Cricetulus griseus: one gene and its partners. The protein of the gene in region 4 purifies or fractionates together with the protein of the main gene of each other region. This does not show direct contact. Links are inferred from orthologs where the notes say so. Each region holds a gene or a part of one and is shown on either strand. Other genes may lie near its edges. The genes, in order: Plrg1, Ddx42, Dnajc8, Sf3a2, Snrpa, Prpf3 and Sart1.

Region 1 (2,811 bases), on a different chromosome or scaffold from region 4:
TCCCTCAGTATGGATAATGCTGTGTTGTTGGTATTTTCACAATCAGTAGATCTTTTTATGTATTGAGAGTAGTAACCTCGTCCTTGTCACTTTTTGCAAATACTTACCAGTCTGAATGTGCCTTATTTTCCCTCTTATATGGAGAGGCATCATTTTAAAGAGTCTGAGTGTTCTGATTTTGTGTGTGTGTGTGTGGGGGCGGTAACCAACGTAAAGAAAAACAACTATTTGATTTCAGATTTGGGACTTGGCTAGTGGAAAATTAAAGCTGTCATTGACTGGCCACATCAGCACAGTGCGGGGTGTGATCGTAAGCACAAGGAGTCCTTACTTGTTCTCTTGTGGAGAAGACAAACAAGTGAAGTGCTGGGATCTTGAGTATAACAAGGTAAGCTTAGAGCAAAGGTGTTCAAACTGCATGAGCCACAGTTCATTGTGTTTATACTGCACTACTGGGATTGAATCCAGGGCCTTTTGCAAGCCAGACCAACTCTCTGCCTTGGAGCTGTATCCCCAGGCCCCAGTGTTGATCATTCTAATTTTATAACTCGGAACTTCTGCTTTTATCTTCAGGTTATACGGCACTATCATGGCCATCTAAGTGCAGTGTATGGTCTGGATTTGCATCCAACAATTGATGTCCTGGTGACTTGTAGTCGAGATTCAACTGCCCGGGTAAATGAGATGTAGCTGTGTGCTAGTTGTTGGTGTCTGTATCTTCTCATATGCAAACTTGATATTAGCATGTTATTTTCTCATAAAGAACAATAGATTCTTGATTTATCAACAGTCTGGTCTCTTTTAGGATTGGTGCCTTCTCTGTTTGTTCTGTTTGCTGTTGTCAATGTCCTGCCACTGAATTGTGACAGCTTTGTATTCTTGGCCTGTGGTTCCCAACCTGAGGGTCTTGACCCCTTTGAGGGTTGAACAACCTTTTCAGAGGGGTTATAAGACCATTCTGCTTATCAAATATTTACATAATTTACAAAATCATAATTTACAAAAATTATGATTCATAACAGTAGCAAAATTATGGTTATGAAGTAACAACAAATAATTTTATGGTTGGGGTTTACCACAACATGAGAAATTGTTTTAAAGGGTTTCAACATTAGGAAGGTGAGAACCACTGCTCTAGGCCATCACAATGTTTGTTCATTACCAGCTTAATTCTCTTGTCCCATTGTGGGACTAAGCTGATAGGTCAGTATCCTGATCTTTAGACTTCTGTCTTTCCCCATAGCACGTGGATCATTGTCTCCCATTTATGCATTCTCTTCGTTATGTTCAGATACACTGGTGTGGAAAACTTAGAGCTCTCAGGTATAAATATCTATTATTTTTCATAGCATGTTGGTTATATTTTTACAGATCTGGGATGTGAGAACAAAAGCCAGTGTCCACACTTTGTCTGGACACACGAATGCAGTCGCCACTGTAAGGTGCCAAGCTGCAGAACCACAGATAATTACCGGTATGCTAAGCTTCTCCACCCTACTGTCTCTTCATACCAGATGCACTGCCATTCAGCGCTGTAGCTCCTCCAACTCCTGCTTTGTGTTGTGTTCTAGTGTCACTTTGTATTTTAATCATGGCATTTGAAACTTATGTGTTAGGTGTTATGAAAGATGTCTATAAAACTGCCATTAGATAGTCAAGTGTTGCTCTAGAGTGTCATGACTCTCATTCTAGGGAGTTAAAGTTAGAAAATACCCTGCCACCAACATCTTCAGATCTGGTCTTACTTGAGTCTTACTTGAATGACTGGGACTTTACTGTGACAAAACATTCTTTCACTTGGTTTTGTTAATTAGAAATATAAGATGAAATAATTCAGCTTTTCCTTTCCCAGCCACTGGGGGATAAAATTACATGTTTGGTTCATTTGCTATTTATATATTTTGATAGGTTAATCAGGTATTTATTTTTCTTATTTTTAGATTTATTTGTAGAAGTGCTTTGCCTGCATCTGTGTATGTACATTATGTGTGTACCTGGTGCCTACATAGATCAGAAGAGAGTGGCAGATTCTCTGGAACCGGAGTTACAGATGGATGTGCATCACTGTGTGGGTGCTGGGAACCAAACCAGGCTAAGAAGTGCTATTCAACACTGAGCCTTCTCTCTAGTGCCTCAATCAGGCATTTTAAAAAGAACTAGATATAAAGTAAAACTGTAAGGAAAGTATTCACAGTGGTAGGACTTCTACTTAGTGTATGTTTATGTACAGAGGAGTGCTTTGTGTTTACTGTATTCTAACTTGTGGATTCTGTCATTGTCTCTCTGTCGTGTCCGCGCGCGCCCCCCCCCCCCGTGTGTGTGTGTGTGTGTGTGTGTGTGTGTGTGTGTGTGTGTCTCTCTCTCTCTCTCTCTCTCTCTCTCTCTCTCTCTGTACTTGTATTCATGTGTGTGTGTGTGTTTTCGTTACAGGAAGTCACGACACAACAATACGATTGTGGGATCTGGTAGCTGGAAAGACAAGAGTAACATTAACCAATCATAAGAAGTCAGTCAGGGCTGTGGTCTTACATCCACGACAGTAAGTATGTTTTGCTAATTAGCTTTTCTTTCTCCATGCCTTAGTGAACTCCAACATCAGCACTGCTTTTGCAGTCCTGCAGCCTGTGCTGCTTTTGGACAAACTTTCTTTAATTTTCTGTCTGCTGCTATTTTACTTCACGCCCTGTATAGAATGAAGGAGGAAGTCTCTACATAGTGACAAATAAGACTAAGTCATGCTTAAAACTGCATGTTAAAGTAGGAGGTAATAATGGCTGAGTATGTTTTACTTTTTACATGTCATAGATGGTG
Region 2 (3,500 bases), on a different chromosome or scaffold from region 4:
AAAACAAAACAAAACAAAACAAAAGAATTAAACTCTTTATGTCCCTATAAAAAATCCCAGGAGCTACCCTGACTTGTGTAATATTACCTCTCCAATGTCTCCCTGCACCACTCGAATAGGGTCAATCAAGATGTCTCTGGCCAATTTTTCAATCTTTTTCCGAAAAGTTGCACTGAATAAGAGAGCTAAAAGATTAAAACAAAAAAACAAAATAACAAGCATTTCTTACTGAGTCTACTGATTAAGTTTCTGTAATGCAACCGATTCAACTAAATAAAAATGATTTTCTTTCTTTTGTTTTTACTTTATTTTCAATCAAGAAATGAGTTGTCAAAATGGTTCAGGAAAATGCTCTGATTTCAAATCAGCAATTAAACTGCAGCAAATTATTTAATTTCAGTTTTATTATCTATAAAAAGTGAGCAGTTTGCTGGACCTGATGGCATAGATCTGTAGTGCCAGGTGTTTGGAGGATGAGGCAGGAGTACTGCAAGTTTACGGTCTGTCTAGGTTATACAGAGTGAGTGTTCAAGCACAGCCTAGTCAGCTTAGCAAAACTCTACCTGAACAATAAGATAAAAAAAAGGGGGGCCTGGAGATATGCATGTAACACAGAGACGTAGAGTGTTTGCCTAATATGCAGGAAGACTTAGGTTCACTATTGTGGAAAACAGAAAGTACAAGAGTTCTATCTAGTAACCTCTAAGGTCTTTTTCAGAGCACATAAATGGTCATTAACTCTCCCCTTTACAGTTATCATCAGTGTATACACAGTAATTTTCGCTTCCACAACTGTGAGTACTTATAGAATAGGTGTTCATCTTGAATATAAATATACTTTTATTATAAAGCTGCTTCATACATACTCTGTCTGTCAGGACGGACATGACTTGCTATGGACCGAACCTGGTACTCTGAAAGAAACAGAACAGTAATCAACATAATACTGTAATAGTGTTAAAAGAGTTGTAAAAAGTCACGTTAGTGACATTCACACAACTTCCAAGGATTAAAAAAGTCCTGAAACTCCTAGACATCATGCAGTATGAAATTTCAAAAACACTTCAGAGTTGCCGAACTGGGTAGATATGGTTATTTAGAAATTTGCATAGCTGGTTAAGCCAAAGGGACCAGGAAAGGACCTTGCATGATTTAATATTTGCCTACCCAAGAGTATAGACTTTAACCTTCAAAGGCCTGTGACTAAAAATAAAGAATAGAGAAAACATTCCCTCTGTTATGCGCACTTGTAAATTTTCTCAATACAGTCAAGACTAGCACACTTCCCTTCAAAAAACACCTACATAGCTCATGGCTTGGTCTATCCCTTCTTTTGAAATCCAGAAGTATTTTTTAACTTTTTCACGATTAAAAGTACTAGTTAACTTGGAATAAACTAACTTCAGGACAGGGACACAAGAAACTAATACTCAAAGGCATACCAAATCCCATGTCAAACATCCGATCGGCTTCATCAAACACAAGGTAAGAGACTCTTTGAAGATTAGTAGCTTTTTTCTTCACATGATCAATCAGCCGACCCTGTGAGAGTCACAAAATGAATATTAAGTATAAAAAGATTCACAAAGACATTTACAGCTACATTCCTGGAAAAAGTGTCAATTCTTTGGTCTTAGAAAAAGATACTGATCTGACAGCCTTTATGCAACAACCTCAGAAAAATAGAGAAACAAATTTTTTTTTTAAGACAGGGTGTTTTTGAGTAGCCTGGAGCTCACAAAGGTCCACCTGTCTTTGCCTCTTAAGTGCTAGGACTAAGGGCAAATGCCACCATACTGAGCAAAAATAGAATTCTAAAATCAAACTCTTCCTTTATATTAATTATAAATTCTATGAATAAATGGGCTGGAACCATTCATGTAATATGTTCTGAGAAGACTTAAAAGCTTCTGAATGTTTAACCTACATCCTCTGGGTGCCTCTAAACATTATCTGAGTATCTTTATATTCTTCACATTCTTGATAGCCACAGATACAGCTTTTAGGAGAGCCTCAGAAAACCTGTTTGAAACAGGAAAAAACTTGGAGCTGCATGGGTCATGGATGTTATAACTAGATTGCGGTTTAGTCAACTAATAATTAAACCAAAACAAAAGGCAGCAACTCACCAGGGTATTCCCAACCTAGCTTTACATTTTAGAGAGAATTCCCCTCAAAAGTAATCCCGTTTTCTATATCAAGAGGGATTGAGATCACTGAACACGATATACTTACTGGGGTACACACAACAATCTCTGCTCCTTCCTGAAGGGCCTTGGCCTGCTCCCACATGCTCCCTCCTCCATATACGGCCACCGAGCGGAGATTATATGCTTTCCCAAACCGCTTACATTCGGCATGGATCTAAAAAGTCATCAATAATATTTTAAAAAATAAGCTTTTAATAAATACTTTTACCATTCCTCAAAAGAGAGTTCTGAACAACACAGTGTGTTCTATTACAGAAAAATCAAAACCTAGCTATGACTAGTGGCATAGGCTTCTAATTCTAGGTACCTGGGAGGTTTAGGAGGAAGATAGCAAGTCCAAGTCCAATCTGGGTAATTTAATGAGATACTAACTGAAAAAACAAAAACTAGAACAATACAAACAGAAGAGGCTGGGAATATAGTTTAACACTTGCCTAATACTTAAGGGCTATATGCGCAATTCCTATTATTGAACACATACCCACACCACCAACAACAACCAAAGCCAACCAAATAATAAACAACCAAAAATAAATAAACAACCAAAAAACCCCACATGAAAACAAATGTGGGTGGGAGAAATACCAAATTCTAGAACATGATTTAAAAATCAACATTCTTTGGTTTGTTTGTTTGTTTGTTTTGGCTTTTCAAGACAGAGTTTTTCTGTTTAACAGCCCTAGCTGTCCTGGAACTCACTCTGTAGACCAGGCTCTTGCCTCTGCCTCTGAGTGTTGGGATTAAAGGCATGGCTATCACAGCCATCTTAATCCTAAAATACAGGTATTATCTTGCTTTGAGTCACTCATGCTCTTTTTCTTTTTTAAAGACAGGGTTTCTCTGTGGCTTTGGAGGCTGTCTTGGAACTAGCTCTTGTCTCGATGGTCTCGAATTCACAGAGACCCATCTGCCTCTGCCTCCCAAGTGCTGGGACTAAAGGTGTTGCGTCACCACTGCCTGGCCTACTCATCCTCTTTTTGATCCTATCAGTTTAACAAGAAAGTTTGAGAGTAAAATAAAAAAAATTATGTTATCTTTGTAATGGATAGTATCTAACATTTTTCAAGACTTTCCTGGGAGCATAATAATGTGCATATACTTACTGTCAGCAAGCGAACTATACACTTAAAATGGTTGAAGTATACAATTTTGTATACAGTTTTAACACATTTAAAACAGAAGTAGGGGGAGGTTGGGGAGAAGGCTCAGTGGGTTAAGCACTTGCCATGCAAGTGTGAGGACTCACATTTAGACTTCTAGAACCCACACAAAAGCTGGGTGAGCATGGTA
Region 3 (3,500 bases), on a different chromosome or scaffold from region 4:
TCACATTTGGATGGGGCCTGGCTGGTGTTGCCTGTAATACTCCGATTCTGCACAGTGGTCTTATTAATATACAGGGCTTCCTCCAGTGCAGTTGATTTCTCCACATTGCTGACTCATAGTTACCTCTGATCTCCCAGCAAGCTATATTAAGCTAAGATGGTTTTTTGTTTTTGCCTGCTCAGTCATTTCCCATTATATAACTTTATAGTTTTATTCTTCCTGAGCACTGATCTAGGCTTAAACTCAGCGTGCCACCCCCCCCCCCTCCAAGGTCTTGTTTTTCCAATACAGTCCAGTAACAGTTGTCCTTAGACTTTTCCTGTAGCTAATGAACTTGAGTTACAAGTTCTTACTGACTTATTAGATGGCCTTATAATTAAGAGTACATATGACTTTAGTTTTAATTTGTTCTCTTACTTAGGAGCAGTGTGCACTTGAACACGTGCTTTGGACCTTTCTGTGTCTATTTTACCTCAGTTGGTAAATGTGTCCAAATATTTAAATCAGGTATTATATACAGTAGGCTTTCAATGGATGTCTTGATACTTTGTATATGCTAACCATTGTCCATGGATATTTGTGTGCAAATTCATTCACTTCTTCCTTTTGTTTTCTTTTTTTCTTTGATCTCTCTCCCTTCCCTTTACCATTTCCTCTTTTCCATTTACTGTCATCCCTTCCCTCTTCCCCTCCCCCCTTTCTTCTTACCTATCCCACAGGGTCTCACTTTATAGCCCAGGCCAGCCCTGAACTCAATTCTCCTCAGTGTTGAGATTTCAAGAAATGGGCCCTTATATTCAATTTATGCTCATTACTTGCATTGTTCATTTTGTCCACACAACAGACTATTTAGATGTAGGTACTTTGTATTTTTCCAGTGATAAAGCAGGAAGCCAAAGTGAAGATAAGCTGAGTTACTCAAGGTCTCGGAGCTAGCATGTGATTGAAGTTAGAATTACAAACTGTCTCTGGCACTTCAGGGGATTAACATTAGATTTTCATCTCCCAACACGGATTCTTTTTTTGCTTCAACTAGTTTCGGTCCATCTGTGACAGCAAGTCAGGAATCTTTTAAATGTCTTAAAGAATCATCTCTGGAGGTTTTCTTTTTTTAAATAGTTTATTTATTCTGTGTGAGGGTGTTGGATCTTTGAGTTATAGACAGTTGTGAGCTATCATGGGGGTGCTGGGAATTGAACCCAGGTCCTCTGGAAGAGCAGTCAGTGCTCTTAACTGCTGAGCCATCTCTTCAGTCCCTGGAGGTTTTCTTATAAAAAGTTCATGTTTTGTTTATTATTTACTGGTGTGTGTGAAGAGTTCCAGTCACTTGCATGAACTGTTGTTGAGCCTGACTTTTCTCTTCCATGTAGTTGTCTATATTGGTGCATCCTGACAAAAATCAAGATGATGCTGACAGAGCACAGAAGGCTTTTGAAGGTATTTGTAAATTTACCTGCTTTTGAATACTATATACTGTCAGTGCTAAGGAGTAACTGGTTATGGATAAGCTGTGGATTTCAGTAAAGCAGCCATTTAAGCAGAATGTTAAAGAAGTATTCCTTGGGGGCTGGGGTATAGCTCAGTGCTTGCCTGGCATGCTTGAGGCCCTGGGTTCAATCCCCAGCACTGCAAAGAAAATGCACCTTAACTTTGCTTGGTTAAAACTTAGGTGTGTACCAATATACTTTTATTACATAGGATCTTTTTTCTCTGAACATAAGTAAAGTGGGAAATACTTTATCAATGTTTTAATCTAGATGTGCTATGTCTAGTTGAGTGTATAATTTTTTTTCCTAAGACTTTCAAGGTTGTATGCTTTTTAAAAAATGAGTTTAACAATGGTAAATAATGTAACAAAGTAGGGAATGTTTTTAGACAGTGCAAGTCCATTTACACTGCCTGAGTATAGCTCAGACTTTGAGAGGGTATTTGCAGAAACAGTTAACTTCAATGTTTTGCATTAGCTGTGGACAAAGCTTACAAGTTGCTACTGGATCAGGAACAAAAGAAGAGGGCCCTGGATGTAATTCAGGCAGGAAAAGAATACGTGGAACACACTGTAAGTATTTCTAGTGCTGCTGTGTTTACAGGAAGTAACAGCAAGCTGTGGGCACTGTGTAGAAGGGTATATGCAACCTACCAGTACTGACCACGTAGCTAGTGACCACTTTTATTCTCTCTACCACTTCTGTGGTGCTCATGAATAGCAAGCAGCAAAAGCTAGCATTCTTCAGAGAGCTCAGGGTAAGGAGTGGTTAGTACACTGCCACTCCCACTCCTGTGTTGTGTAGATGGCCACTTTGGCCTCCCAACCAAGTAGCCATGCTATCCCATTGAGAGTGGAGAAGCAGCGTGGCTGTGGCATTGTTGACTCCCTGGTTTTTCTTTAGTTGCTGTGAAAGGTTTGAAAATGAGAGGCTGTCAAGGAGCTCTGAGTGGGTTGTAAAGCAGGAGGAGGCACATGTTTAGTTAATAAAAAGACTCTGAAGACTCATTTGAAACAAGTTTTAGCTTTTGTTTATTTGTTTGTTTAAAATGGGGTCTTGCTGGGGGTACAGGGTATCCTTCAACTTCCTAGGTAGCCTGGACTGGCCTTAAATTCTTAATCTGCTGCCTGACTTGCTGATCCATGGAATTCTGGATTATATGCCATTGCATCCTACAGAAAGAGCTTTCTTCTTTTTTTGGTTGGATTATTTTGAGAGTCTTATGCAGTTCATGCTAACCTCAAATTAGCTATATACCTGAGGCTGACCTTAAATTTCTTTTTAAGCCGGGCATTGGTGACGCATGCCTTTAATCCCAGCTCTCAGGAGGCAGAGGCAGGCAGATCTCTGTGAGTTCGAGGCCAGCCTGCTTTACAGAGAGAGTTCTAGGACAGCCAAGGCTACACAGAGAAAACCCTGTATTGACTATCCCCTCCCAATTTTTTTTCTTTTTAAATCTTTTAGCTATGTTTATTTATGTGTATGAGTTTTTTGTCTGCATGTATGGGCATACCTGGTGCTCAGAGAGGTCAGAAGAGGGTGACGTGATCCTCTGAAACTGGAGTTAAGAATGGTTGTGAGGTTCTGTGTGGGTGCTGGGAACTGAACCTAGATCTTGGAGCAGTCAGTTCTCTTGACTGCCAAGCCATGTTTCCAGCCCTGGCCTTGCGTCCTTGATCCTTCTTATGTCCAGCTGCTAGGATTATAGGCATGCACCACTATGCCCAGCTAGAAGGCTCCTCTCTCTCCTCTTTTTTTCTTTTTCTTTTTTTTTTTTCTTTGCCCCTTGGAGTGAGAATCAACCATTTACAAGAGCAATTTTAATGGTGAGTGTATCAGGAGTCCATCTTTGTTTTGAAGAGCTTTGGAATCTGAAGTGGAAGTTTATGGGCAATAATAATAATAATAATAATAATAATAATAATAATAAAGACAATCCATTTTATATGAAGACAATGAGGAGAAAAGTAGGAAAAGGAAAGGTGTACAACCAGGTCCTGCTGGTTGTGCTGA
Region 4 (4,061 bases):
GTATGTGTACATATTGATGTATTGTTTTAAGGGAGAGGTGAAGACATCAGAAATTGACATCTGGCCTCAATATACACGTGCAAGAAGCAGAAATTAAGGGTAGTGATGGAGAACCCCGTGATGATGGAGGAAGACATGAGGGCCAAATGTCTACAGGACGGTACTGTAAAGATCACCAAGGAAGAAGGCTGAATCAGATGTCACTTCAAAACCTCAGAAGCCCTGCCGGCGGGAGGAACTGTTTATGCCACACCAACAAAGTCTGCGCAGGCTGCTCATATCCCTGCCGTGAACAGGTACTGAAGGCGGGGAAGAAACTATGGTCGCACCAGCGGGGACCAGACCCGGGGGCAATTTGACAGCTGATGCAGCGCTGGGCCCCGGAAACTCGGGATCCAGGACAAACGGAGGTTGGGGCGGGGGTGGGGAGGGGTGTGCGGAGCAGAGTCCGGAGTGGGGACTGTGGGGACCGGCGCACTTACTGATGGAGAAGCCGCCGGGCTCTTCCTGGGCCACTCTGCAGCGCTCCAGCAACAGGGCTCCGAGGGGCTGCGCGAGACACGGCCATGAGCGCCGGCCGGCTCCGGGCCGCGCGGGCCCCCCGAGCCCCCCACGCCCCTACCTCGGCCTCGTCCGGGCGGAAGTAGAAGAGGAAGTTGACGACCAGCTTCACCAGCCGCCTCTTGGCCACTGCGGACACGGGGCGGTGTCAGCGGGAACTGTCCTCCTCCGCCCCCCGGGGAGGTGCCCAGCCGCGGCCCCGGCTCGCTCACCGCTGCCCTTCTTGGGGCCCCGCATGCCCAGCTCGGCCGCCATCTCCGCCGGCTGACGGGACAGCGCCTGCAACTCCTTCTCGTTGTACCGCATCACGCCGTGGGGACCCGCGCGAACCGGAGGGCGCCCTGCCTCTCGGCCGCCGTCCGCTCGGAAGGTGCGCTCAGCACCACAAAAGTCTCAGGGAACATTCCCGGAAGTCCCAGCAGAGCTACTGCGCCTGCGCGCCGGGGCGCTAGCGTGTCTGCGGGCGCAGTTGCTCGCAGAGTCAGAAAGGAAGGAAGTCGCCCGTCCTAGGTAACTGTCAAACACACTAAACGTGAGGTATCAAGCTAGATCCGTAGCACCCCCTGTCAAGCGAAGCGCGTTCCGAGGCTGCTGAGACATAACGATTTCGTCCTGTCGCGATACTCAGCGAGAGTTCGTGAATAACTCAGTGCGCGTGCGCACTTCGGACTCCGGCGCTCCTTTCACTCGCGCCTCTTTAAACCGAGTCCATCTTCTGGGCATGCGCACAACCGAAACTCCGCCTTATTTTCCCCCGGAAGTGACTGCTTAGTCCGGCCTGCGCGTGCGCACAGCGAAATCGTGGGCCTCGCGGACGTTACGCCTGGGCTGCGCGGCCTTTGGCGCCGGTGAGGTGTTACTCGGCTTGTTGGTGGAAGCTACCCCGGCTTTGGTGTCTCGGAAGGGGGTCGGAAGCAGCAGCGAGGGCGCGGGGCTGGACGGAAGGGCCGGCCGGCGGGCGGCGCGGCGGCGCTCGCGCGGCCCAGTGGCCGCGGCGGCATCGCGGGCTTCCGTGGCGCGTCTGCGGCCCCCAGCGTGCCCCGGTTCCTGAGGGTCTTTTGAGCTCCTTGATTGCCTCAGCTTTCCTCGTCGTTAGTCAGGGCCCTGGCGACTGCTGCTGCCGCCCACCCGAGCCGGTCCTTTGCTGGGACTGGAAGATAACGGTATTTCCATCCCAGGCCGTCTCCTTCTCAGACAGCACTTCGTTTCCCTGTCTCGTTTGTCGGTGATCTTATGGTGGTCCGTGAGGTAGCTCGTCTCCATCCATCCGTTCTCCCTCCTGCCCCACGCCTCACTTGTGAGCGCATCCAGGCGTTGGCAGAACTTCTATTTCAGACAGTGTCTCCCTGCCCAATTCTGGCCGACCAGGAACTCTTACCTCACACACATCGCGGTGCCTCTGCCTCCGGACGACTGGGATTAACAGCATATGCCGCCGCACCTGGCTGTTTAATTTGGAAGGGTTTATTACCGCTGACAGTAGGAGTGCAATTCAGTTTGGTGGGGAAGTTTTGTCCCAGGAGCTTGAGGCAGCTGTAGTCAGGAAGCAGAAAGATAAGTGCTGGTGTTCGCATTGCTTTCCCCGTGTTTCTTTTTCCGGGACTATCTTTTCTTCGTGTGTATGTGTGTCTGTGCATGTGAATGAGTCCAGATCCACTGGAGCTTGAGTTTCGGGTGGTTGTCAGTTGCCCAGTTTGAGTGCTAGAAACTGAACTTGGATCCTCTGGAAGGACACCAAATGCTTTTAAGACAAGATTTTACTGTGCAGCCCAGGCTGGCCTCCAACTCGGGTGTCTTCCTACCTTGGCCTCCCAAGACAAGAGCTGATGTGAAAGGTGTTTGCCACCATGCCCACCACAATTGCTAGTGTTTCCCGAGGTTGAAAATGTCACAGGCTGGGAAAGGTAGCTCAGTGGTGAGATTTTGCAAGACTCTGCTCCTACCCCAGAACCAAGGCGCATGCTCACCCAAGCTAGTTTTGTCCTGGGTTTTCTTGTTTTTTTTTTTTTTTTAGCCTCTCCAAAACAGATGAATTGCATTTTTCATTTAGTGGGTGCCCACACCCCTACACGTGAAAGCAAGACTCTAGGGGCCTTGAGTTGTACCCTCAAGCCTGTGGCTGGCTGGACACCAGAAGTCAGAGTAGGTTTTCATGCTGTCACTGCTCCAGGTACCCTCTTGTTCTGGGAAGCCTGCGGCCAGCCTTGGACTCTGCTCTTGCATCTGGCCAACTTCATCTGTGGGTCTGTGTCTCCTGGTAGCTTTCGAAGGTATAGGCAGTGCTTTTCTTTTTCAGTCCTGTGTGGCTGAGCATGAAACAGACCAGACAGGCTGGTCCTGCCCACAGACAGCTTCAGTACACATGAATGCTCTCAGCCATCCCAGCGTCTTAAGGCCCATGTGTCCCTTGGCTTTTGCCCCTTCCTCCTCCAGAGTCAACAGCCAGCGACCTCACTGTGTCTCTGCCCTGAGTCCTTCTGACTCCATGGTGACACTACCTGGCCCTCGGAGTTTTTGATATCATTTTCAAAATTCCTTTTGCTGTATGAGGCTCCAACAATGATGACAAGGACTGCCCTCCACTTGTCTCCTGGACATGTCCCTGAGTTTACCTCTGGGTTTAAACCAAGGCCCTGGGGCAGACAATGAGCAGTCTAAAGTGTTCTTCCTAGTGGACAACATTCAGGACTTGGAAGACTAGGAAAAAACATAATCCTTGTGTGTCAGATGGGTGTGTGAGGTCTTTTAATCCCAACACTTGATGGATCTCTGAGGACAGCCAGGTCTACTTAAAGAGACCCCCCCCCCCATCTTAATATGACACAGCAGGCAAAGGTGGCTCATACCTGCAGTCACTTGGGAGGATCAGGAGTTTAAAGGACAACCCAGGCTACATGAGACTCTGCCTGTCCCCCACCTACCTCATAACCAAAGACAGATATAATGGCACACCCCTGTAATTTCAGTGCTTACGGGGACCAGGAGTTAAACTAGCCTGAGCTACACAGTGAGTTTACAGCTAGCTTTGGTTACGTGAGACTTGAAAAAAATGACACTAGCCTAGGGTCTTGGGCTGGTTGCTTCTCCACCAATCCACATTCACTCTAAGGGTAAGGTGGAATCCAATCTGGAACATAGAAGGCAAGGGAAGGCCTGCTTGCTGCATGAATGTGTGCTGTTCTGAATCTGTTGCCCTTTTGTTCCTCCAGGTTTCTGTGTGTCCCTGAAGCTTCCAGGCCTTCACCATGGACTTCCAGCACAGACCTGGAGGCAAGACTGGGAGTGGGGGCGTGGCCTCCTCCTCTGAGAGCAACCGGGACCGCAGGGAACGCCTGCGACAGCTGGCCTTAGAAACCATTGACATCAACAAGGTGGGGGGGTACCTACAGTAGGGGTGTGGAGGGAGCAGTGTCCCCACACCTACAGACCCAGGTTCATGGGGCCAGGCTCTGCGATCTAATGGGTACATATGTTCCCTCCAAGGACCCATATTTCATGAA
Region 5 (4,032 bases), on a different chromosome or scaffold from region 4:
ATCAGGAGCCTCTTTACGTCTTCTCTGCCTTTGGGGACTGGGCCAGCCTTCTCCAAGGCCTCCTTCAGGAGCCGGCTCTTCTCCAGGCCGTAGACATGAGGGGAAACAACCTCCACAGCCAAGGGTGGGGGTGGGGGTGGAGGCGGCGGCGGCGGCGGGACAGAAGGGGATGGCGAAGCTAAGTCCAGGGTACTTGGGGGTAAAGGAGGTGGAATGCTGGCGTCTTGGGGTTCGGGGATTACTGGGGGGACTGTGGGCTTTAAGGGGAAAGACGTCATGTCGGGTCTTCAGGAAGAGCTGATGTGAGGGTGAGAAGGGGGATCCTCTCAAATCTCTCAAGGATGGAGACTTCAGTTTTTAGAGCAACTGGATGTGGTATTCACATGTGGCCCGCACATAGAAACCTGTATTAAAAATTACAAAGAGTTTAAAAAAAAAATTAGAGTTGAATTGCAGAATACGGTGCCTGACCAGTTGGTCTGGGAGAACCTGGGTGGGTATTTCAAACCGTGGGAACAGAAACTGGGCTGAATCAAATGACGAAGAAGAAGGCTCCCCCAAGGTGCGGGCTGTGCCATGGGGATGGAGCGACATTGGGAGGGACTAGAGCTAGCTAGTTTTCTTCATTTCCGTAATCAGGGGGCTCAGATCGGGGGGGGGGGGAGTAAGGCGTGGGGTAACCGGCCTCATCTCACATCTCTGTAATCAGGGGGCTGAGATCGGGGGTAAGGCGTGGGGTAACCCGCCTCATCTCACATCTCAGGGCGCTCAGATCGGGGGTAAGGCGTGGGGTAACCCGCCTCATCTCACATCTCCGGCTCGAGTCTGCAACCTTAGGGTCGATCTTAGGAGCTTAGAGGTCATGAGGTTAAAAGGGCACGCGGCTGGGAAAGCAGCCTAGCGGTGGGCAGCGGTCAGAGTTGACAGCAGGCACAGCGGTCAAGGGTCGCCTAAGGAGCGGGAACTTAGGAACTTGTACACGCTCCCCGCGGAGGGAAACGAGCGGCCTTGACCCGGCCAGGCTCTCCCGACGCGGCCCGGCGGCCACGTGACCCCCCCCCCCCCCGGTACTGGCGGAAGGGGAAGAGGCGTGGCTTCGGAGAGGGCAGCCTGCGCTGGCGCGCTAGCGAGGTCCCGATTGGCCCAGAGCTCGTCGCCTCCTTTGATTGGTCTGCTCACCTGGGGAGGGGGCGGGGACTAGTGCTGAGGCGGGAAGCCGCGTGTCCCTTTCGCGGGCGGGCGCTGAGGCCGGGGAAGAGGCTCTCACTCGGGGCGGTCGCCGCCTGCCGAGTTCGCGCGCCGTCAGCGTCTCGCGGCCGGGGACGGGAAGCTGTGTGTCCGAGCGGAGTGGCGTGGCAGGCGCGGCGGTCCAGGTGGTGAATTCCCGCGGTGGAGACGCCCGCGGGCGCTGGGGAGGCGGGCGGAGCACTTGGCGTCGGGCCTTCGGCCGCGTCGCTTCCGGAGGCCCCTCTTGGAGAGACGAAGGTGTCCCAAATCGGTCCCTGCTGTCTTAACTGGCTCCCACATCCGGGTTCCTTTTTTTTTTTTTTTTTTCCTCCTTGGACGCCGTTCGAGCGCGTGGACCAATGGGGATCGCCGCTGGGTACAGGCTCGCAGAGCATTCTGGGATTCGTAGTCCTCCCCCCCCCCAGCACGCGGGCTGGAGAAGCGGAGTCCTACGCGGGCTTTGTTGCCAAGCTGTGCCATTCTTCCCCAATTCCGGTCTCACCCAACTTCCTCCTGGAAGGATCCCTGAGCAGAGCCCGTCAGCCCCCTGAACAGAGAGTTTTGGAAAGCGTTAGAGAGCTGAAGTCGCCTCTTTTTCTCCCTTTAAGCCGTTTCTGAGCATCTGACACCATGGCAGTTCCTGAGACCCGTCCCAACCACACTATTTATATCAACAACCTCAATGAGAAGATCAAGAAGGATGGTAAGTCCTCCGGGATAGCCCGGAACTCTAGGTGATCTCGCATGAGCTGACCCCTTCCACCTCTAGCGCCCACTTTCCTTTCTCAGCCTTGCCATTGAGTCCTTTAAGAGTTAACTTTGGCCTTTTGTACCTACTGAGCCCTTGGTTCTCAATACACCCTTAACCACTTTACACTCTGCTCTTTAACCTGCACACTGTCGATAATCTTCAAGGTTTTAGCTCACCGGCCCTTCCTTTCTGGGAAGCCCTTTGGGATCTTTCTCTCCCTCAAGCCCAGCGCAGTCTGCTATCATGAGACTGTCTCTTGGCCACTGGCCTCTGGGCGTTGGTCTTGGTGATGAGTTACGATGCAAAGAACGTATAGAAGTGACGGGTAATGAATGCTATGTAACAATGTTCTGTAGTCTTGGAGATATTTAATTCTCAACAAGCCTCTCAAGATTAAGAAATTGGAATTTGGGTGGTAGTACTTGCCCGTGATCAAATACCAAGAAAAAAATGGTTGGGACACAAGTGTGCGGTTCTGTTAAGCAAATTCTTGAACTGCTTGAATGGCAGATGGCTGTAATTCTGTTACTTAGGGAAAGGGACTCCCAGAGTAACTCCCAGATGGCTGCATGATCACAATGAGTGAAAAAGATACCAAAGACAGTTTCTTTGGGTGTGGTGGTGTAGGCCTGTAATCCCAGTACTCAGGAGACTGAGACAGGAGAATCTTGACTTCAGACCAGCCCAGGGTACATAGCAAGACCCTGACTCCAAAAGGTCTGAGGAATACAAGTAGTCTTGCCTAGCATGGGTAAGGCTCTGGGTTCTGAACCTCAGCAACTAAGAAACCTACTTGGCCTGGTGAGATGGCTCAGTGGTTAAGAGTACTGCCTGCTCTTCCAGAAGACCTGAGTTTGATTCCTAGCACTCAAGGGAGGTTTATAATGTGTAACTCCAGTTCCAGGGCATATGACATCCTCTTCTAGCATCTGCAGGCAAAATAACCCACGCACATAAAATAAAAATATTTTGGGCTGGCTCACGCCTTTAATCCCACCACTTGGGAGGCAGAGGCAGGCAGATCTCTGAGTTTGAGGTTGGCCTGGTCTACAGAGTTAGTTCCGGATGGGGGGGGGCGTGGAGGGTGTCAGGGGAGGAGGGGGGGGGGGAGAAAGGGACCTGGGATTGACATGTAATTTTCTTCCTAATTAAAATAAAAAAAAAAACCAAAAACCTTGTCTCAAAACAACTATATATTTAAAGGTTGTACAATTTTTATTTGTTTATTGTGTATACAACATTCTGCTTCTGTGTATGTCTGCACACCAGAAGAGGGCACCAGATCTCATAACGGATGGTTGTGAGCCACCATGTGGTTGCTGGGAATTGAACTCAGGACCTCTGGAAGAGCGGTCGGTGCTCTTAACCTCTGAGCCATCTCTCCAGTCCCAAGGTTGTACAATTTTAAACAAAACCCCACACCAAATAATTCCGTTCTTGCCTGGAAGTAAGGTCCTGGAGTAGAATGTTTACTTTTCTACAAAGGCTGAATTCTAGCACACATACAAATAGTAAACAGAAGCAAGTATTTTTATGTATTTATTGTGTGTGTGTGTGTGTGTGTGTATGAATGTGGGTTGTAGTGCTGTAGCATTCTGGGTAATTTGTCACTTGGCAGTGGCCCCTTGTTTGAACTGTTCATCATCCAAGGATAGTTAGTGCAGGTCCCAGGACACAGTGCCCAGGCCTTTTGTTACAGTGTGTCTTGTTTTCCCTGAATGCAGAGCTCAAGAAGTCCCTGTATGCCATCTTCTCCCAGTTTGGCCAGATCCTGGATATCCTGGTGTCTCGGAGCCTGAAGATGAGGGGCCAGGCCTTTGTCATCTTCAAGGAGGTCAGCAGCGCCACGAATGCCCTGCGTTCCATGCAGGGTTTCCCCTTCTACGACAAGCCCATGGTGAGCATCTTGACTATGGAGGCTGTAGGAAGCTGGGTGGGTGTGGCCTGTAGTGTTCCGTGAGGATGCTACTTTTCTTGCTTGGTCCTTTACTTTCAGTGTTCCTTAATCTGGGGCTGTGGGGACACAAAATGATCAAGACACTGAGCATGATGGC
Region 6 (3,500 bases), on a different chromosome or scaffold from region 4:
GCAGGGCTAAGGGAAAGAGAGAGCAACAGAGGACTCTCCCCTCCCTCCAATATGGACCCCAGGAGGGTCTGGAAAGGCAGTGTCCTGGGCCCCACCCACCCACCACACTTACTTCTGTCTCTTTGCCATCTGGGCTCTGACGTGGGCTTCTACCTTCGTAGGGTCTTGGACCGCTTCTGTTCCTAATACTCGCATTAAATTTGAGATTCTCACTACAAAGGAGAGAGGACAGCAATCAATCTCCTAAGTTATTTCTCTAGCTAGGACAATCTGTTTTGTTGTTTTAGCTCACAAACATTGCTTATTTCAAATCTCTGTTCAAAATTCACTTTCTACAATAATTTCTACCCTGAAAATCCCACTCAGTTAATGTGATTTTGTAGAAGATCAAACTATCTAAAAAATTCAGTGATTTTTATCATGAAAAAGCATTTATCTCTCATTCATCTGCATTAAAAAAACAAACAAACCCTATAAACCAGGTTGTGGTGGCGTATGCCTTTAATCCCAGCACATGGGAGGCGGAGGTGGAGGCAGACTGATCTCTCTACAAAGCAGGTTCAGGACATCCAGGGATACACAGAAATCCTGTCTTGACGTCTCTCCACTACAAAGACTTTAGTTTCATTTAATGTGTATGAATGCTTTGCCTGTGAGTATGTAAGCACAGTATGCAGTACCTATGGAGTCTAGAAAGCATGTGAGAGATGGTTCAAAGTTGCCATCTAGATGCTGGGGGAACTGAACCTAGGTCCTCTCCAACAGCAGTCTGTACTTAACCACTGAGCCATCTCTCTCTAGCATTTGTTTTCTTTTCTCTCTTTTTTGGTTTTTAAAGACAGGGTTTCTCAGTAGCTATGGAGCCAGTCTTAGAACTTACTCTGTAGATCAGGCTGGCTTCAAAGACATGTGCCACCACCCCCTCCCTGGCTATTTTTGTTTTCTTGAGACAAAGTCTCCCTATACAGCCTTGGCTGGCATGAAATTTGCCATCCCTAAACCCCAGATCTCAAGTACTCAGAAGTCGGGGGAGTGTACATGCTTAGTTCTATATTTTTGAAAAGTCTTTTTTCTTTTTTGAGAAAGGGTCATTTTCTATGTAGCCATGGCTGACCGGGAACTCAGTATATAGACCAGGCCAACCTCTGCCTCTTGATTCCTGGGATTAAAGGTGTTCATAACCATGCCCACTTTTCGTTTGTAAGTTTGGGTCTCACTGTGTAGCTATGACAGGCCTGGAACTTCCAGTGTAATACAGGTTAGTCTGTAACATGAGATCCTCCAGTCTCACCGTCCCAAAACCTAGGATTACCAGCCAGTGCCATCATGCCTGTCTATATGTTAAGAATCATGTATAAAATTCCATAAATATGGACAGGAGGTGACGCACGCCTTTAATCCCAGCACTTGATAGGCAGAGGCAGGTGGATCTCTATGAGTTCCAGACCTGCCTGGTCTACAAGAGCTAGTTCCAGGACAGGCTCCAAAACCACAGAGAAACCCTGTCTCGAAAAAAACAAAAACAAAAAAACAACAAAATAAATAAAAATACATAAAAATCCATAAATACCACAACTATTGTCTTCATGATTTTTTTTGTTTATTTTTTTCTAGAGAGAGTTTTCTATTTAGCCCTGGCTGTTCTGGAACTCACTCTGTAGACAAGGCTGGTCCCAACCTCTGAGATCTGCCTGCCTTCATGAATCTGAAGACTAGCATCCTTTCTGTAAACTGTAGGGAGCCAATACAGCAAATAATGCTTAAAAATAAGCGCTAAATGACTTCTTTAATAAAATGTCTTGATCTGTCATAAGAAAACATAGCATAGATTACAAAAAGAAAAGAAAGGAAGAAAAGAAACTGTGAATGATTCAGAGAAACAAACAACAACCCCCAACCAGTTAAAGTGCCTCTCGATGAAAAAAGACAGACTAATTGACTGACTTGACTTTTGTGGTATCAGGGCCAGCTAGACACTTACCTTTGGGTTCAGGAGGAGGCATCAGACCGAGCCTGACTTTCTCTTGTAGCTCCTTTTGTGCTTCCCTCCTTGTTTGCCTCCGAAGCTTCTTCTGTTCCTTTTTTGTAAGATATACCCCAAGGGTAACTGGTGTATCATTGTCGACTATGAGAAAGAAAAAACGAGTTACCCAAGCTTAAGATCACAGAAGTATTTAGGTAAGTACCCATCACATAGAACAACAGAGGGAGGAAGTTGAAACAGTCTTTCTTTGTAGTCCAGGCTGACCTTGAACTCTACCTACTGTTCCCACCTCAAAATTGCTGGGATGACAGGCATTCACTAACTGTGCTTGGCTTATTAGTTACTAAGTGGTGAGAGGGATAATTTGGTTACGTTTTACTAAATATAAGTATTAATCTCTGAAAAAAAATGTTCTAGGTTGTTTTTCCTTTAATAGTTGAATACTTTCACCAAATGAAATGTGTAAACCGTAGCCCTGGTAAGGATTTGGAGAGGTAAAAGTTTCTAGAATTTTAGTCAGGCAGTGGTGGCCTTTAATCCCAGCACTAGGGAGGCAGAGGCAGGCGGATCTCTGTGAGTTCGAGATCAGCCTGCTCTACAAGAGCTAGTTTTAGGACAGCCTCCAAAGCCACAGAGAAACTCTGTATCGAAAAACCAAAAAAAAAAAAGTTTCTAGAATTTCACTCAAGTCCTACTTTCTGAACTTTGCTGTTTCCACGGAATACAATTTAGAAACCATTAACCTACAGAACAATAAGTTTTGTCTTGGGAATGAAGCTATGTATGTTAACTACTATACAAATACCACCTCAATTTTAGTACTAGGAAACGGGTGGGGGTGGGAGGGATCCCTGTGGAAGGGGCTGGCTAAAGAGATGGTTCAGTGGTTAAGAGTAATTACTGCTCTTCCAGGGGACACAAGTTCAATTCCCAGCACCCATATTAAACACCCCCCCCCCCCCCCCGCCCTCCCCGTGTGTGTGTGTGTGTGTGTGTGTGTGTGTGTGTGTGTGTGTGTGTGTGCTCGTGTGTGTGTGCGTGTGTGTGTGTGTGTGTGTGTGTGTGTGTGTGTGTGTGTGTGTGTGTGCGTGCGTGGGTATTAGTATATGTGTGTATGTATATATGGGCACACATTCTGTAGACCATCTCATAGAGATGTACCTTGCCTCTGCCTCCCATATACTGGCATACTACCACTGCCAGACCTCAGTGAGCACATAATTTTATAAATATCAGCTGTTCTGTGAGAAAATTCTCAATGCTCTAAGTGACTTACTGAAGACACTCAACTACGGAAAACAGACACAACTATAACCTCTGCTGTCTCCATCTTCAACTATACACATTACTCAAGTTAAAAAAACAAACAAAAAACCTCCCTCTTTTGAGCTAGGGTCTTCATATGTATCCCATGCTTACACTGAATCACAAGTCTCTACAGTGGTGGGTTTATAGACATCTACTAACACATCAAGTTAAATCACCTCTTTTGACTGAACTACTGGACTTTTACTAT
Region 7 (4,119 bases), on a different chromosome or scaffold from region 4:
TAAAAATTAAATGCTTATGGCAAGTATGGTGTGAGACTTCTGACGGGAGTTGGTTATGCATTGTGGGGCGGGGGGGGGGCAGTGGTAAGTGGGTGGCCTGGACTTAGCTACTTCCCACATATTCTGGGAACCCTGGCTGCACCCCTTCCTCGGCAAACACATGCTGTCTCTGCTACTGAGTGGGACACCTAGAAATGCTAGTGAACAGGTCCACCTCTGAAGACTCAGTAGTAGAGCAGAGCCGTAAAGGAGCAGGAAAACCATACCAAAACACGCCGAGGTGTGCTACACAGGAAACCCACAGAGGAGCAACTAGTAGCAGAAGGGAGTGTGTGAATCCTTAACTTTAAAGCTCATCTCCTCAAGACCAAAACAAAACAACCAAACCAAACAAGCAATCAACCAAATAAAAAAGCCCAGGAAGAGAGAAAAGGCTGGGAAAGCAAGGCATTGTGGCTTGTGCCTGTAATCCCGGACTGAGGCCACATAGTTAACGGGACAGAGGAAGGAAAGAGAGAGGGGGGGGGAGGGAGGGAGGGAAGAAGGAAGGGAGGAAGGAAGGCAGGCAGGCAAAAGAAAAACGGATCTGCCCAATTTGCACTTGAGCCTGGCTTGGGCGAGCATGCCTGAAATCCCGGCCACTCGCAGCACACGGGAGGCTGAACCAGAGGGTTCGAGACCTGCCAGGGCTACGTAACAAGCACTAGGCCAACCAGACCTATATAGACCCTATCTTAAAAAGAAAATTAGAAACAAAAACAGCACTCAATTTCACGGGGTTCACAGGCACAAATTCATAGTGTTCCGTAGCAGTCCAGAGCTCAGGTTAAAAAGACCCAATCTACCAATCCAGGGAAAGTGGGCGACGGTAGCATTCGCTGGCAACAGTGGTTTATTGGGGTTGCAAGTCTGGGGCTTTGCAGCTGGTTTCTTCAAGAAGAAAACATGCGGTATCTTCCAACCCCGGACGGATCCCCGGCCCCGGGGAGCCTACGAGAAGGACAATCACTGGAGGAGGGGACGCCCACGAAGAGGCTTGAGGCACAGAGCGCCACGAGGCTCTCGGAGTGGAAAGGTCAGGGAAAGAGCTCCCAGCTCCGCAGACGGTGGCTTTTAGCACGATTCCAAAGCTGTTACAGTTCTAACCCGGGAGAGCCAATGCCGACCCCGTAGCCTCTACAGGTGCACATGCGCAGAGCCAGTCCCCGGGAGCCGGGAATGCGCAGTCTCAACCCGTCCCTCCCATGAGCCTCTGGAGGTTCCCAGGCCGGCCCCGGAAGCAGCCGCTCTTAGTTTCCGGCAACAGCGCAGCGGCGGCCGCACGACCCGGAAGTATTCCCATTTTGCGTCGTCTGGGCTCGGGTGGCGGCCCGGCTCCAGACGGACGCACTAGTCATGGGGTCGTCAAAGAAGCACCGCGGGGAGAAGGAGGCGGCGGGGACGACGGCGGCGGCCGGTACCGGGGGCGCCACCGAGCAGCCGCCGCGGCATCGAGAGCACAAGAAACACAAACATCGCAGCAGCGGCGGCGGCAGCAGCGGCGGCGAACGACGGAAGCGGAGCCGCGAGCGTGGGGGCGAGCGCGGGAGCGGGAGGCGCGGGGCCGAAGCCGAGGCCCGCGGCGGCGCGCACGGTCGCGAACGAAGTCAAGCGGAGCCCTCGGAGCGGCGCGTGAAGCGAGAGAAACGCGATGACGGCTACGAGGCCGGTGAGGGCGGGGCGGGGGCGGGGCAGGGGCCTGGGGTGCGCGGGACGGAGGGTGCAGGGTGACCGCCAGGGCCTGTGCCTCTCGGGCTGAAGACTTGCTCCGGCTGTTGGGGACTAAAGACTGACTCCCCATGTTAAGCTTCGGAAGGACCGGGGTCTTGCGTTTCCCCTTCCCGTCTGGCACTTGACAGTAAATGCGGTGGGTGGGCGAAAGGAGGAGGTGCGAGCATGCACAGACAGAGGCAAGAGAAACCTGACAGTAGGTGGAATCGTCATGAAGCAGTAAGATACGCTTGGGTCTGAACACCAAGGACCCTGTGCTGTAAGCTCTGTTGAGAAATTTGGGCTTTGTGATGAAGACGGTAGGGAGTCGAGGATTTGAGTAGGGAAGTGGGTTGATTTACTTCATATGTTAAGATCACACTGGATTGAGCTGGGCATTGGTGGCGCACGCCTTTAATGCCAGCACTCGGGAGGCAGAGGCAGGCAGATCTCTGTGAGTTCGAGGCCAGCCTGGTCTCCAGAGTGACTGCCAGGATAGGCTCCAAAGCTACACAGAGAAACCCTGTCTCGAAAAACAAAAAAAAAAAAAAAAAAAAAAAAGGATCTCTGGGTTGAGAGCTTGTCAAAAATAGGACTACAGACCCTGAGATTAGGAGGGAGGTCAACCCAACCAGGTGAGGACTAACAGTGAGTATGCATGTTTCTCCATGCAGTAGGGTGGAGAGACTGGAAAGATTGAATAGGTGTTTAGGAAGTGCAATGAACAAAATTTAGTGCGTGGGCTAAGGGGATGGGAGGGATGAGGAACAGGGAATGCCTCCTGGAGTTTTGACCTTACCCGCCTGGTGAATGGTTTTCATCTGTTGAAGTTGGTGTTTAGAAGACTAGCAGATTTGAGGCAAGGGAGAATGACCCAGTTTGGGAGAGCTTTGGTCAGTGTGTATGGGAAAACCTACAGTTTAAGTGGGATAGAGTGATTTGAGGCTAGTGTGTATTCAGGAATCCAAAGTGCCCTAGAGTGTGTGGAGTGAGAACTAGGATCAGAAATAGAACTTAGTAAATGCCAATAGCTCAATTGTGGGCAGAGAAACATACTTAAAAAATAAAGAGTAGCCAAATGGCAAGAACACTACAGTTGGGTCATAGGATCTGTACAAAGAGATGATTGTTGAAAAGACAGAGTGGTTAAGAGCATCACACACCACAGGGCATTATGCAGAACCAGAACTTGTAAACAAAGGGTTGTTTTCATTTTATGCATTTGAGTGTTTTACCTCCATATGTGAATATGCACTTGGTGCATTCCTAGTGCCTGTGGAGGTTCAGAGGAGGACATTGGATCCCCTGAAAATGAGTTAGGTGGTTGTGAGATGCCATATAGATTATGGGAACCAAACCTGGGTCCTCTGTAAGAACAGCAAGTGCTCTTATCCACTGAGACATCTCCCCAGCCCCTAAATTGAAACTTTTTTTTTTTTTTTAATAATCTGCTAATTGGAAAAAGGGAGACTTGAGACTTGAGAGTTCATATAGAAAATGGGGTCCAGAGCCTAGGTGGAGGAGGAAGGGTTTAAAGAGCAGTGAGTAGTGTGTGACAGGGGACTTGGGCATCCTGGTGGCATCTTCCTCTGTATAGTGTTTATTGAAGTTCTCTCCTGTTTGTGGGGTGGATAGATCAGGTCCAGAGTGCTTCCTTTCCTATGTCCATAGCATCTGGCATGGAACACACACTAGTAAGTATTCCATACACTGCTGTGGGCAGAAAGTGCCAGAAATGACAAGCAGTGCTGTGCCGTTCTAGGCAGAGTTTTAATTCTGGTCAGTAATTGAGCAGGGCTTCATGGAGGAGATGATACTTGCTCTTTTGATAGAACTTTATGAGAACAAGAGCAGAAGGGACTGTGGAGGCTGAAGGTAGAGTGTGGAGATTTGGAGTGGCACAGTGAGGGATGCAGAAAAAAGATAAGGGCCTGGGTAGCAGCTGCAGGGAACCCTGGGGGAAGAAGGCTGCTGTTTTCTGGTGTCATCTACCCAGGTGCTGGTGGGGGCCCTTGTCTTCGACCTTGCAACTGAAGACCATGATGTTGCTTCTTGGTCCCATGTTCATGGGTTCCTTAAGCCGTGCTCCTTATTGTTCTAGCTGCCAGCTCCAAAACTAGCTCTGGAGATGCCTCGTCACTTAGCATCGAGGAGACCAAGTGAGTAGCCCTTATGCTGTTTTGATTTTCCTCTGAGACTGGTTGCACCTGGGGCTGTTACCTATAGAAACTTTTTCAATCTAAATGAAGCCAGTTAGAATTGGAATGGCCAGATGAGTCATACTGCCAACCATAGGAGCTACGTGGAAGAAACTGAGACCCAAGAGGAAGGATAGTCTTCCCCAGTCAGGAAGCCTGTTCTGGAAGCCTG

Evidence for each region.
Region 1: the proteins of Sf3a2 (region 4) and Plrg1 purify together in Homo sapiens (affinity purification with mass spectrometry; 3 studies listed by BioGRID and IntAct, with this or other methods). This does not show direct contact. The link is inferred for Cricetulus griseus from reciprocal best matches to the Homo sapiens genes SF3A2 and PLRG1.
Region 2: the proteins of Sf3a2 (region 4) and Ddx42 purify together in Homo sapiens (affinity purification with mass spectrometry; 3 studies listed by BioGRID and IntAct, with this or other methods). This does not show direct contact. The link is inferred for Cricetulus griseus from reciprocal best matches to the Homo sapiens genes SF3A2 and DDX42.
Region 3: the proteins of Sf3a2 (region 4) and Dnajc8 purify together in Homo sapiens (affinity purification with mass spectrometry; 3 studies listed by BioGRID and IntAct, with this or other methods). This does not show direct contact. The link is inferred for Cricetulus griseus from reciprocal best matches to the Homo sapiens genes SF3A2 and DNAJC8.
Region 5: the proteins of Sf3a2 (region 4) and Snrpa fractionate together in Homo sapiens (co-fractionation; 3 studies listed by BioGRID and IntAct, with this or other methods). This does not show direct contact. The link is inferred for Cricetulus griseus from reciprocal best matches to the Homo sapiens genes SF3A2 and SNRPA.
Region 6: the proteins of Sf3a2 (region 4) and Prpf3 purify together in Homo sapiens (affinity purification with mass spectrometry; 3 studies listed by BioGRID and IntAct, with this or other methods). This does not show direct contact. The link is inferred for Cricetulus griseus from reciprocal best matches to the Homo sapiens genes SF3A2 and PRPF3.
Region 7: the proteins of Sf3a2 (region 4) and Sart1 purify together in Homo sapiens (affinity purification with mass spectrometry; 3 studies listed by BioGRID and IntAct, with this or other methods). This does not show direct contact. The link is inferred for Cricetulus griseus from reciprocal best matches to the Homo sapiens genes SF3A2 and SART1.

The regions. Positions count from the first base shown.
Region 1 is NW_023276806.1:71,273,978-71,276,788, reverse strand, and holds part of Plrg1 (pleiotropic regulator 1), read left to right. Parts: intron 1-238; coding exon 239-388; intron 389-573; coding exon 574-675; intron 676-1,371; coding exon 1,372-1,474; intron 1,475-2,430; coding exon 2,431-2,539; intron 2,540-2,811. UniProt on the Homo sapiens protein: Involved in pre-mRNA splicing as component of the spliceosome. Component of the PRP19-CDC5L complex that forms an integral part of the spliceosome and is required for activating pre-mRNA splicing.
Region 2 is NC_048600.1:119,185,218-119,188,717, reverse strand, and holds part of Ddx42 (ATP-dependent RNA helicase DDX42), read right to left. Parts: intron 2,365-3,500; coding exon 2,236-2,364; intron 1,543-2,235; coding exon 1,443-1,542; intron 915-1,442; coding exon 867-914; intron 186-866; coding exon 88-185; intron 1-87. UniProt on the Homo sapiens protein: ATP-dependent RNA helicase that binds to partially double-stranded RNAs (dsRNAs) in order to unwind RNA secondary structures. Unwinding is promoted in the presence of single-strand binding proteins.
Region 3 is NC_048595.1:20,719,148-20,722,647, reverse strand, and holds part of Dnajc8 (dnaJ homolog subfamily C member 8), read left to right. Parts: intron 1-1,370; coding exon 1,371-1,437; intron 1,438-1,964; coding exon 1,965-2,059; intron 2,060-3,500. UniProt on the Homo sapiens protein: Suppresses polyglutamine (polyQ) aggregation of ATXN3 in neuronal cells.
Region 4 is NC_048598.1:101,580,290-101,584,350, forward strand, and holds the start of Sf3a2 (splicing factor 3A subunit 2), read left to right. Parts: upstream 1-1,261; 5' UTR 1,262-1,409; intron 1,410-3,770; 5' UTR 3,771-3,806; coding exon 3,807-3,932; intron 3,933-4,044; coding exon 4,045-4,061. Other genes in the region: Plekhj1 (pleckstrin homology domain-containing family J member 1), read right to left, coding at 483-549, 623-690, 774-867. UniProt on the Homo sapiens protein: Component of the 17S U2 SnRNP complex of the spliceosome, a large ribonucleoprotein complex that removes introns from transcribed pre-mRNAs.
Region 5 is NC_048602.1:8,724,761-8,728,792, forward strand, and holds the start of Snrpa (U1 small nuclear ribonucleoprotein A), read left to right. Parts: upstream 1-1,232; 5' UTR 1,233-1,373; intron 1,374-1,835; 5' UTR 1,836-1,857; coding exon 1,858-1,930; intron 1,931-3,702; coding exon 3,703-3,875; intron 3,876-4,032. Other genes in the region: CUNH19orf54 (UPF0692 protein C19orf54 homolog), read right to left, coding at 1-278. UniProt on the Homo sapiens protein: Component of the spliceosomal U1 snRNP, which is essential for recognition of the pre-mRNA 5' splice-site and the subsequent assembly of the spliceosome. U1 snRNP is the first snRNP to interact with pre-mRNA.
Region 6 is NW_023276806.1:60,668,367-60,671,866, reverse strand, and holds part of Prpf3 (U4/U6 small nuclear ribonucleoprotein Prp3), read right to left. Parts: intron 2,126-3,500; coding exon 1,982-2,125; intron 213-1,981; coding exon 113-212; intron 7-112; coding exon of another isoform or gene 1-6. UniProt on the Homo sapiens protein: Plays a role in pre-mRNA splicing as component of the U4/U6-U5 tri-snRNP complex that is involved in spliceosome assembly, and as component of the precatalytic spliceosome (spliceosome B complex).
Region 7 is NC_048596.1:53,945,745-53,949,863, forward strand, and holds the start of Sart1 (U4/U6.U5 tri-snRNP-associated protein 1), read left to right. Parts: upstream 1-1,319; 5' UTR 1,320-1,395; coding exon 1,396-1,708; intron 1,709-3,850; coding exon 3,851-3,908; intron 3,909-4,119. UniProt on the Homo sapiens protein: Plays a role in mRNA splicing as a component of the U4/U6-U5 tri-snRNP, one of the building blocks of the spliceosome. May also bind to DNA.